2 linked regions of the Arabidopsis thaliana genome follow. The protein of the gene in region 1 interacts with the protein of each later gene in a pairwise test. Each region holds a gene or a part of one and is shown on either strand. Other genes may lie near its edges. The genes, in order: ABCG6 and PUP8.

Region 1 (5,176 bases):
TATTCATAACACGATGTCATCAATATGGCTTTAGGTATATCCAAGATACCAAAGGTACACCACCTACACCAAACTTGCTTGAAATGTTGACATAGCCACTTTTCAGTTGATAGAGACAAAGGAGTTTGAGAAATAAGGGTTAGTAAGTTTGCTATTATTGTTTTGACCCAATAATAAGCTTTATCACCTATCATGTTGAAGCATGTACAGTTTGGTAGAACTGGATTTACTGGCCATGGACGAGAGCAAACTGGAAACGGCCAAAGGTACACTACCTATTTGAACCCAATGGGGTGTTTGATGGTTCCTTATCTTTTTCCTCATTCCAAGTGAATTTGAACTTTAATGTTGCATTTGAGGGAAAGGATTCTGATTGATCTTGTTGCTTTTCCAGTGTAGGCATGTGAAAGATGAATTTTACGAGGTTGAATCAGTAGATGTTATTAATGAGGGGTTGAGGAAAGTGTTGGGAACCGGAAGAGGAACCCATAATCTGATTGGGGAATGTGTATGAGTTTGTACATAGTTCATGTTTCTGAAGCAAGAGATTGAAGTTGTTTAGAGAGGCTGGTGTTCTAAAAGTGACGAGACTATAGGCTAAGCTTCCCCTTGACTATGGTTGGCAAATCCATCAACATACGTCATATGATGTGTTCTACGGAATGTGTAAGGTGCTATTGTACTAAAAAAGTTGGCAATTTTTAGTTGTAAAATTTGTTTTACTTATCAAACCCAAACAAGCCAAATATTCTACACACATTTATAGTCTTTTCTTTTCAGAGTCTTCCAATTTATAATTCAAATAAATAGCAAGTAGTTGGGCTCCAATTCAACAATTTATCAACCACATATATAAGAATATACAACAAAGAGATAAAAGAAAAATACAGAAAACAAACAAAGGTAAATCAAGTTTCAAACCAGTCCTCCATAAGATCAAACTGAGTTTTGTTTTTACCTCCTCTTGTTCTTGCTACCCAAAAGCAGAGAAAAGTAGAACAAGATTCGAAAGAAGAAGCCCCAAGCGACCGTGACCCACAAGCAATTCCATTTGGTGAGATCCGTAACGCCTTGTTGCTGCAAAATGTCATATCCTGTGGTCAAGCAAGTAGAGCTTGTGATCCTCATTCCAAGTGATTTGCTCATAGTTGCTAGAAGCCTAACTTTCATCCCCTGAGGCACCGCGACCAGAGGTGTGTTGTCGAATATCTGAACTCCTCTGACGAAACACTTTGTTGGGTCACCGAATTCGTTTAGGAGCACAGCCTCATAAGGATACTTGACTAAGGAAATGTAATGGAACCAGATCCAGTAGCCAGGGATTCGATCTCGGTTGATGAAGAATCCACTGAAAAGCAAGAAATAGGCTAAAATGGCTACAACAATGGTGTAACCGAGCATAACGTGTGGGACAACGCCTGATAAGAAGGTGACGAATGAGCTTCCTGCCCAGAAAGAGGCTAAGATTACTAGGAAGTAGAAGAGGAAACCCATAAGACCTCCATCTAAACCCACACCCCAAAATGTGATCGCTGCAAAAGCAAGCGAGAGGATGATCAAGGAAGGGAGGGCAACAAGAGAGTGAGATAGTACATAGGAGGATCTTCGGTAAGCGTTGTAAGCAGTTTCTCTCATGAAAATGAAACGTTCTTGGAGGAAAACAGGGAGAGCATCTGCGCAAGTGTAGAACGTTGTGGACATTGCAAAAGCGAAGCATCCAAGACGTTCTTGGACTCCTTTAGGGGAGTTATCTAGCTGCCAAAACATAGTGGCTAAGATGAATCCAGTGACTAAAACAGCTCCTAGGCGTATCCCGAATAGTTCAGGCTGTCTGCGAGAATTAGTCATGGACCGTTTGGCTAGAACCGCGAGTTCGACCCAAAACGGGTTCGCGAAAGTTGGAATAGTGGAAACAGGGCTCGAGCCAGAGCTATGAGTTGTTGTGGTCGCTCCAGAGACGAGCTTGCCTTTAGAGATACTTGCGCTGATGGCTTCTTTTAAGGACAAGCCAGTCTGACTTCTTGGCTCTGCTTTCCTCTGTCTAAACCCTTTGTTGAATTCAACTAAACTTCTTGTTCCACCAGCTGATCCTTCCAGCTCACGTATCAAATCCAAAGCGAACTCGGTGCGGTTCTCATGTTCAGGAATTGGATGGCCAAACTCTGCGAAGAAGCGCGGTAGCATCGCAGGCGATCCGCTGAAGACAGTTTGGCCACGGGACAAGAAGAGAAGACGATCAAGCAATCGAAGAAGACGGTAACTAGGTTGATGAAGAGTCATGATCACCATACTTCCACTCTGAGCGATTCGTTTAAGAACCTTAATAACACTTAGAGCACTTGTAGAGTCCAGACCCGAAGTTGGTTCATCGAGGAAAAGCAGAATCGGATCGTGGATGATATCGATCCCGATTGAAACTCGCCGTCGCTCTCCTCCAGAGATTCCACGGTGTCCTTCATCTCCGATCACCGTATTCGCCGCGTTTCTAAGTCCTAACTGATCAATCAAGGCTTGGACACGGAGAGACTTCTTTGATTTCGAAAGGCTTCGCGGGAGACGAAACTCGGCAGCGAACATTAAGGTTTCTTCAACTGTAAGCATCGGAAAAAGAAGATCGTCTTGCATCACATAAGCTGAGATCGCTTTCTGCATTTTCGAATTGAGAACTTCTCCGTTTAGAGTTACATTTCCTTTCAAGCTTCCTTTAGCGATTCGATTCGCTAACGCATCGATCAGCGTCGATTTTCCAGAGCCACTTGCTCCGAGCACAGCTAGTATCTCTCCGTCTCTAGCTTCTCCGGTGATTCCGTTGAGGAGCGTCTTCGTCTTGGAAGAGAAGATCCCCTCAGACGGAGCTCCAGGATCTGAAGAAACACTGCGTCTCCATGTGAACTTCCGGCGAACTTTGACGCTGTAAGTGAGATCAGTGAACGAGAGAACGAACGGTACGGATTGGTCCGGCGAGGCGAGATCCACATCAACGTGATGCTGGTGGTGACTACGACGCGTGGAGTCGTCGACGTTTTGCAAGAGCTGTGCGAACGTTGTTGGAGAAGACGACGCGCCTGAGACATTGCCAAACTCCGGCGAGAAGAACGGCAACGCCATATTGTCGTCCGCTGCGACCACACGAGACATTCTTCTTTGGGTTTGTTGCGATTGTGAAGCGGGAAAAATCAATAGACGGAGGAAAAACTAACGGCGTCAAAACTACCGTTAGCCGGAGAAGAAAAGAGGAAAGAAGAGTTATGGGTTTAACCAAGGATTTAATTTCTAATTCTATTTATAGATAAAATTCTCAATGTGGTTGGGCTGTTTAACATGCTTTGATTTTTAGGATTAATTTTGATGGGGAGAGTCAAAGTCACAATGCTGATGCTTATGTAGATGAACCTCCAAACCTAAACACAAGCAAGTAAAAGTGTAAAACACAAAATGCCACTTGTCAGTTTCTGTTTCTTTAAAATGTTTTCGTATAGCAATCAAATGTATTTTTTAGGCCACCCTTGCCGAATTTAGGCCACCATTCCCCCACCCACCTTTTATACTAACAAATTACAATGTGAAAAAAACTAAACAATCTCGAGATATCTCTTGTTTCCAAGGTAATCATAGTATTACATAAACTTCACTTATTTAGGTGCGACTTTTTGTTTTATAGGTGAGTTCATTTTTTATTCTAAAAAGAAAAACACTTTCTGCTTCGATTAAGCAGTTAGAGGGCGCTATAAAGAAGATCATCGATTCACTACTCGGATAAGAAACTCTTTTAACCTTTATAGCTGGTCGTAACATTGTCATCTAAAGCCATGATCCAAAGGATTCACCACTTCCCTACTAACATCATTTACAACAACCCTTTCATTCTAGAAGAAACGAGAGGTATATAAACCAAATGGCAAAGAAATAGAAAGCTACCAGCGTGTATGAACATATCCAACGGTTTTGCTATAGACAAACCCACCAATCCAACCGCATCATTACTCCCAACACCAATCCAACCGATATGTGACAAACTGACCAGTCAAGCTGAATTACCAGATTCCAACGCCTGTAAGATAACTGACTGGTTGAACTTGAAGTTTATGAAACTGCCACCAGGTTTTATGTCCTGAGAATGGTCGACTACAGGCTTTGTATTGTGGCTTTCTACTGTTGCTGTTGTATTGTGGCTTTCCATTGTTCCTTTCCTGAGTTCAGGCTTTGTACTGTGGCTTTCCATTGTTGTTCTCTTGAGTTCAGGCTTTCTACTGTTGCTTTCCATTGTTGTTGTCCTGAGTTCAGACTTTCTATTTTGGCTTTCCACTGTTGCTGTCCCGTTCCCTCCAACACTAGTCCTTGCATTCCACACGCAGAGTGCTGTACAAAGCATATATAGTCAGATCTCTACCAAAAACCTCTCTTTTAATGAATGCTTGAGAAAAAGACGTCAAACCTTTAAGGGGCTTGTTAGGTCTCCGTGCTACAGGTGAAGGATGCTTTAATATCCACGACTTCAATGACCTGCACAAGTTTGTAATCTCTCTTGTTATGAACCAAAACACGAAAATCACCCAAAAATCTATGTGTATAAATTAGAGAGCCACTACTCACGAAAGGAAAGGTGCCACCATGTACAATTTGAGACCAGAAACTCCATGAGTTATCACCTCATTACTTGCTGGCTGAAGATGATCAAGCCGATGCCATGTGATTTCCTACAAGTATTCCACAACAAAAGAAGATAAGAGACTCATCATACATACACAGACAAGATCAGATCCACAAGTTAATTGTTAAATACGCACACTGATTTCCTTCTTTGTAAGTGGTGCAAAAACTGTATCTTCTGTCACCCCAGCAACAATGTAAAGTCGTACTCTTTGCTGCCTGAAAACAAACTCTATATATTCTTCTCTCTTGAGTAGCTTTGAGACATCAAATCCAGTTTCCTCTAAGACCTGTAATTTAGCATGGAAGAACAATACATAAGAAGTGTGACAAAATATTCAGTTTTTTTTCAACATTAACCCATATTCCAAGTCTATACAAACAATCAGAAGAAGAATTACAGCACCTGAAATGCTACATTCACCAGGAGAATAGCACTAGAGAGCTACAATTAAACCTTTGACCATTTCCATACCAATGAAATAGTAAAAAGATACAGAGAGCCTATATAGTTGACCATTGACAG
Region 2 (4,192 bases), on another chromosome or scaffold:
TGATGGTATTACAAAAAAACATCTAAATACCCTACACAAGTTGCATTATCAAACATGGCAGGCTTTTAGTAAATCGTATTATATGGATGGGGCAGGCGATAGATGACAGTAGCAGTATCATTATTTAGTAGTCTCATGTTGACCGGTGACTTTTCTTATTTGCTTACACTTGACTTGTGGAATTCTTGAAACTTTTGAATGGCGGCTCTACGAGAATTTTTTTTATTTTCTCAGTGTCTACTGACGTTTAATCAGAAGTCAACAAAGATACAAGAATCCAAGCTCCTGGAGTATACGTTTTTGGTATTTTAAGGAGTCTTTTTACAAGGCACTGTTCAAGTCACTACATTGGTTATTTGTTATGTCAGTGGCTTCCAGGTAAGTGGGTATTATTTTTGTTCACTTGTTTCTTTTTTTTTGTTCAAAGCTCTGGTTTTCCAAGGATGCTTTAGCCTATTTGCCTCTCTGCTATCGATGTTTGCTCTTGTTTTTTGGTGATTCAAATGCATTGCAAAATGACAAAGCAGAGTATTGCATTTGCATCTTTAAGTTATGGGTATCTCCGGTATATAGAAGTAAAAAAGATCCGAACTATTGGTATCTTATGTACAAAACTTATCAGTTACTTATGATTGACTAGAGATACACGTTTTTATATCTATGCTCAAACTGTACAAAGATACATTGGCTTTACACTGGAAATATGTTTTGATCATACACTATGTATGTTTGTGTGACCTTCCTCAGCAGGTAGTAGATGAGGATCTCCTACAGGACTTGTGTGGCTAGTCTTCAACTTCTTTTCGTCGAGGTAGTGCTGATAGACAAATGAAATGAATCCCCAGATAGCTAAAATGATGGAGAAGATCTTTGACGCGTTCATTTTATCATGGAAAACAATCACTGCTACAACTGGAACTATAGGCAATCCCACAGCAGTTATGGAATTGGAGAACACAGAAGATGACTCAAAGATCAGTCCCACGACGCCAATGGTGTAGACTTGCCAGGAAATAGCTATCGAGGCCAAAGTCATAACGTATGGCACTTTCCCCAGTTTGTAGTTTTCCATCTCACTTGTTAAAGTTTTCCACTCCCCGCTTGCGAAAAGTCCTATGAGAACCACACAGCTTGCAACTAGAGATTGGTAAGCGACCAAGTCAGTGACCGTTGAGAATGTTTGCTTCTTTAAAACCTTCCTGAGGATCAGTTGTACCAGGGATAGCAGCAATCCAATCCCAGCAGAAGCACCAATGGTACATATTATCCCTATCACATATTTTACTCTAGACACTTTTGCTGTGTTTTCCGAATCAGTGTTGACCACGAGGAGGGCAGAGGAAATAGTAAGGAGAAACAGAGAATTCACAATGAAAGGTGTGAACTTCTGCGAGTTTAGAAAATATGAGAAGAAGGCAGTGAAGGCCAATTGTGAGGCCAAGATGAGGGAGAAAGTAGAAACTGGTAAGTATAGTAAACCAACAGAGGACATATAAGAGTTAGCAGACACTAATAGTCCAGTAACGATGTAAACTGATCCAAGAATGGTGAAGGAAGAGAACTTTCTGAAATCTGCTTCTGTTGGTTTGGGATTTTTGGTTTGGGAAAAGAAGCGGAAGAGAAACAGAACAGGGAAGCCGATTAGTTGGACAAGTGTTCCCATCCATGTACTCTTCCCACCATTTTCATAGTAAACTCTGCCCAAAATTGTAGAAAGTGCTTGGCAAGCAAGGACAAAGAACACGTAAATGGAAATACGAAGCCATTTCTTATAGTTCTTCGATTGAGGTACGGACGAAGATTCGATTTCCATGGTGGTATTCATTTCCTCCTGACCTGTTAGGTTTGCTTCTATGTTGTTATGATCTGAAAACATCAAAAACAACAGGTTAGCGAAAAGAATCAAGTAATCTACACTACGAGATGCATCTTGCTTACCATTGACATAGATTACTTGAGTTATTTCCATGACCACTCTAAGAGGACTTCCCACAAACAGAGTTTTGGTAAAGCTTTTATATATATGAAGGTTGGTGGGAACAAGTGCATCATATTTCTGTAAAGATGTTTACCGTTGACTTTGAATTATTGAAACCTTTTAATTGGCGGTTTTAAGAAAACTTCTTATACACAACGTTGTTAAAGTAGGCTGAGTTTGGTGAAAACAGATATATAGACGCTTGATATTGTTGTATCTTATTCTAATCTTATTGGCTCAAGTGTCCGTCCACTTGAAAAAAAAAAATTATTACTTGTTTTTGTTATGTTAGTAATCTATTTTGTGGATTTGGAAGTCAACAACGATACAACAAGACGGGAAGGCCATAAGTACACTTGACTTGGATTCAGAAGTCAACAAAGATACATGAAGACTGTGAGACCTTGAGACACTTACCAATTTTATTTGTAGTGCCTACAATATATATAACTCATTTTTATTTTAGATTAAACTGGTTCAAATTACAAAAGCTTTTGGTTTTCTTGGATCTTTGCCTAAGCTTGGACATGAATGGTATCTACTTGTTTTTGTTCTTCTTCTTCTTTAGACTGAGGAAGCTCTTGGTCTTCTTCTGGCTTTCTATCATTGACATAATGCTGATAACCATAAGAAACAAATCCCCAGATGGCCAAAAACATTGCAACCAACTTGATTCCACTCATCTCATCACGGAAGAAGACAACAGCAAGAACAGGCACAACTGGTAAACAAAGAGTGCTTATGACATTGGAAAAAAGCGATGAAACTTCGATAATCAAACCAACACTTCCAATCAAACAAGCTTGCCATGATATCGTTGAACCGATGTTTATCAAAATGTATGAGCTTTTCCCTAGTTGAAACTCTTCCATTTCTGTACTCAGCTTTTTCCACCCACCACTTCCAAAAAGTCCTACCACAACTACACAAGTAGCTACCATAGACGGATATGTGGCCATGTCTAAAATAGCCTTGAATGTGTATTTCTTTAGAATCTTTTCGAACGCGTAATCTGTTAAAGAAAGCACCAGAGAATAACCAGCTGAGCTACCGACCGCGCAGATGTATCCAATCACATACTTGGACTTGGCTGCGGACTTTGAAGTAGAAGAGGGAGATTCTGGTTCATGTTGGATAACAAGAAGTGTAGAAGATATGGTTAAGAGAACAAGTGAATTGAGTATAAATGGTGTGATTTTTTGTGAGTTTAGGAAGTAAGAGAAGACGGCGTTAAAAGCCAATTGCGACGCAGAGATCAAAGAGAAAGTTGAGACAGGAAGGTAAAGTAGCCCAAATGAGTACAAAATACAATGTCCAGCAACAAGCAAGCCAAGTCCAATATACACTAAAGATAGTGTCAAGAAGGAAGAAGTAGTTTTTTTGGTAATGGTTTTAGTCTTGGACGGCTCAGGCTTTAAGTAATAATAGCAAGGAAGGGTTAAAGGAAACCCTACAAGCTGAACCAAGGTTTCGAGCCATGTGCTTTTACCGCCTTTTTCGTAGTAAAGTCTACCTAAGAGAGTGGCTATTGTCTCTCCAGCTAAGAGGAGAGTGACATAGAGAGACACTCTTAACCTCCAAGAGTACTTGTGACTTCTCTCTTCTGTTGAAAATTTCCCTTCAGGTTCTACCATCAACACATGAAACAGAACAAGAACATAAGTAAAAGAAGAAGAACACAAGAATCTCTACGCCGGAATTTCTGTTACAATACTTACCGCCATTTACGTGAAGATGGAGTTCTTGAGTTTCTGATTCTAGTTCCATCATAGAAACCTGAAGGAGAAATATGTCAGGGAACAAATAAAGATGGTGTTGCTTACTTATATAACAGGCAAATGCGTATGCATATATTATTCTTTAATAAATAAAGTTAGTATTAGTTTACATTAAGATTTCAGTTTTTAAAATTATAAGTACTACATATATCGTTATAATTTGTCCTACTAACCATTTCCCGTGAATTGTTAAATGGCACTCTTGGAATGAATCATCTCCTCCATTTTTGTAGGATCCTATCTTTAAACGAACCAAATTTTATTACCAACCAGAATTTTCTTGCCATATTTTATATTTAGCCAAAACAAATCCTTAGGGTACTAGCAAGTTATCTATAGACAAAAGTATCAAACTTACCAACCAGTATTATCAACCGTTAAACACGAACCAAATTTAAATTTTTATTACCAACCAGTTTTTTCTTGTCATATTTCT

The links.
Region 2: the proteins of ABCG6 (region 1) and PUP8 interact in a protein complementation assay, tested with the Arabidopsis thaliana proteins (one large-scale study listed by BioGRID).

Annotation. Positions count from the first base shown.
Region 1 is NC_003076.8:4,368,841-4,374,016, reverse strand, and holds ABCG6 (ABC-2 type transporter family protein), read right to left. Parts: upstream 3,326-5,176; 5' UTR 3,139-3,325; coding exon 955-3,138; 3' UTR 816-954; downstream 1-815. Other genes in the region: DCP2 (decapping 2), read right to left, coding at 4,025-4,359, 4,436-4,503, 4,594-4,697, 4,788-4,940, 5,057-5,095.
Region 2 is NC_003075.7:10,067,495-10,071,686, reverse strand, and holds PUP8 (purine permease 8), read right to left. Parts: upstream 2,230-4,192; 5' UTR 1,970-2,229; coding exon 1,939-1,969; intron 1,867-1,938; coding exon 713-1,866; 3' UTR 572-712; downstream 1-571. Other genes in the region: PUP6 (purine permease 6), read right to left, coding at 2,494-3,605, 3,697-3,748.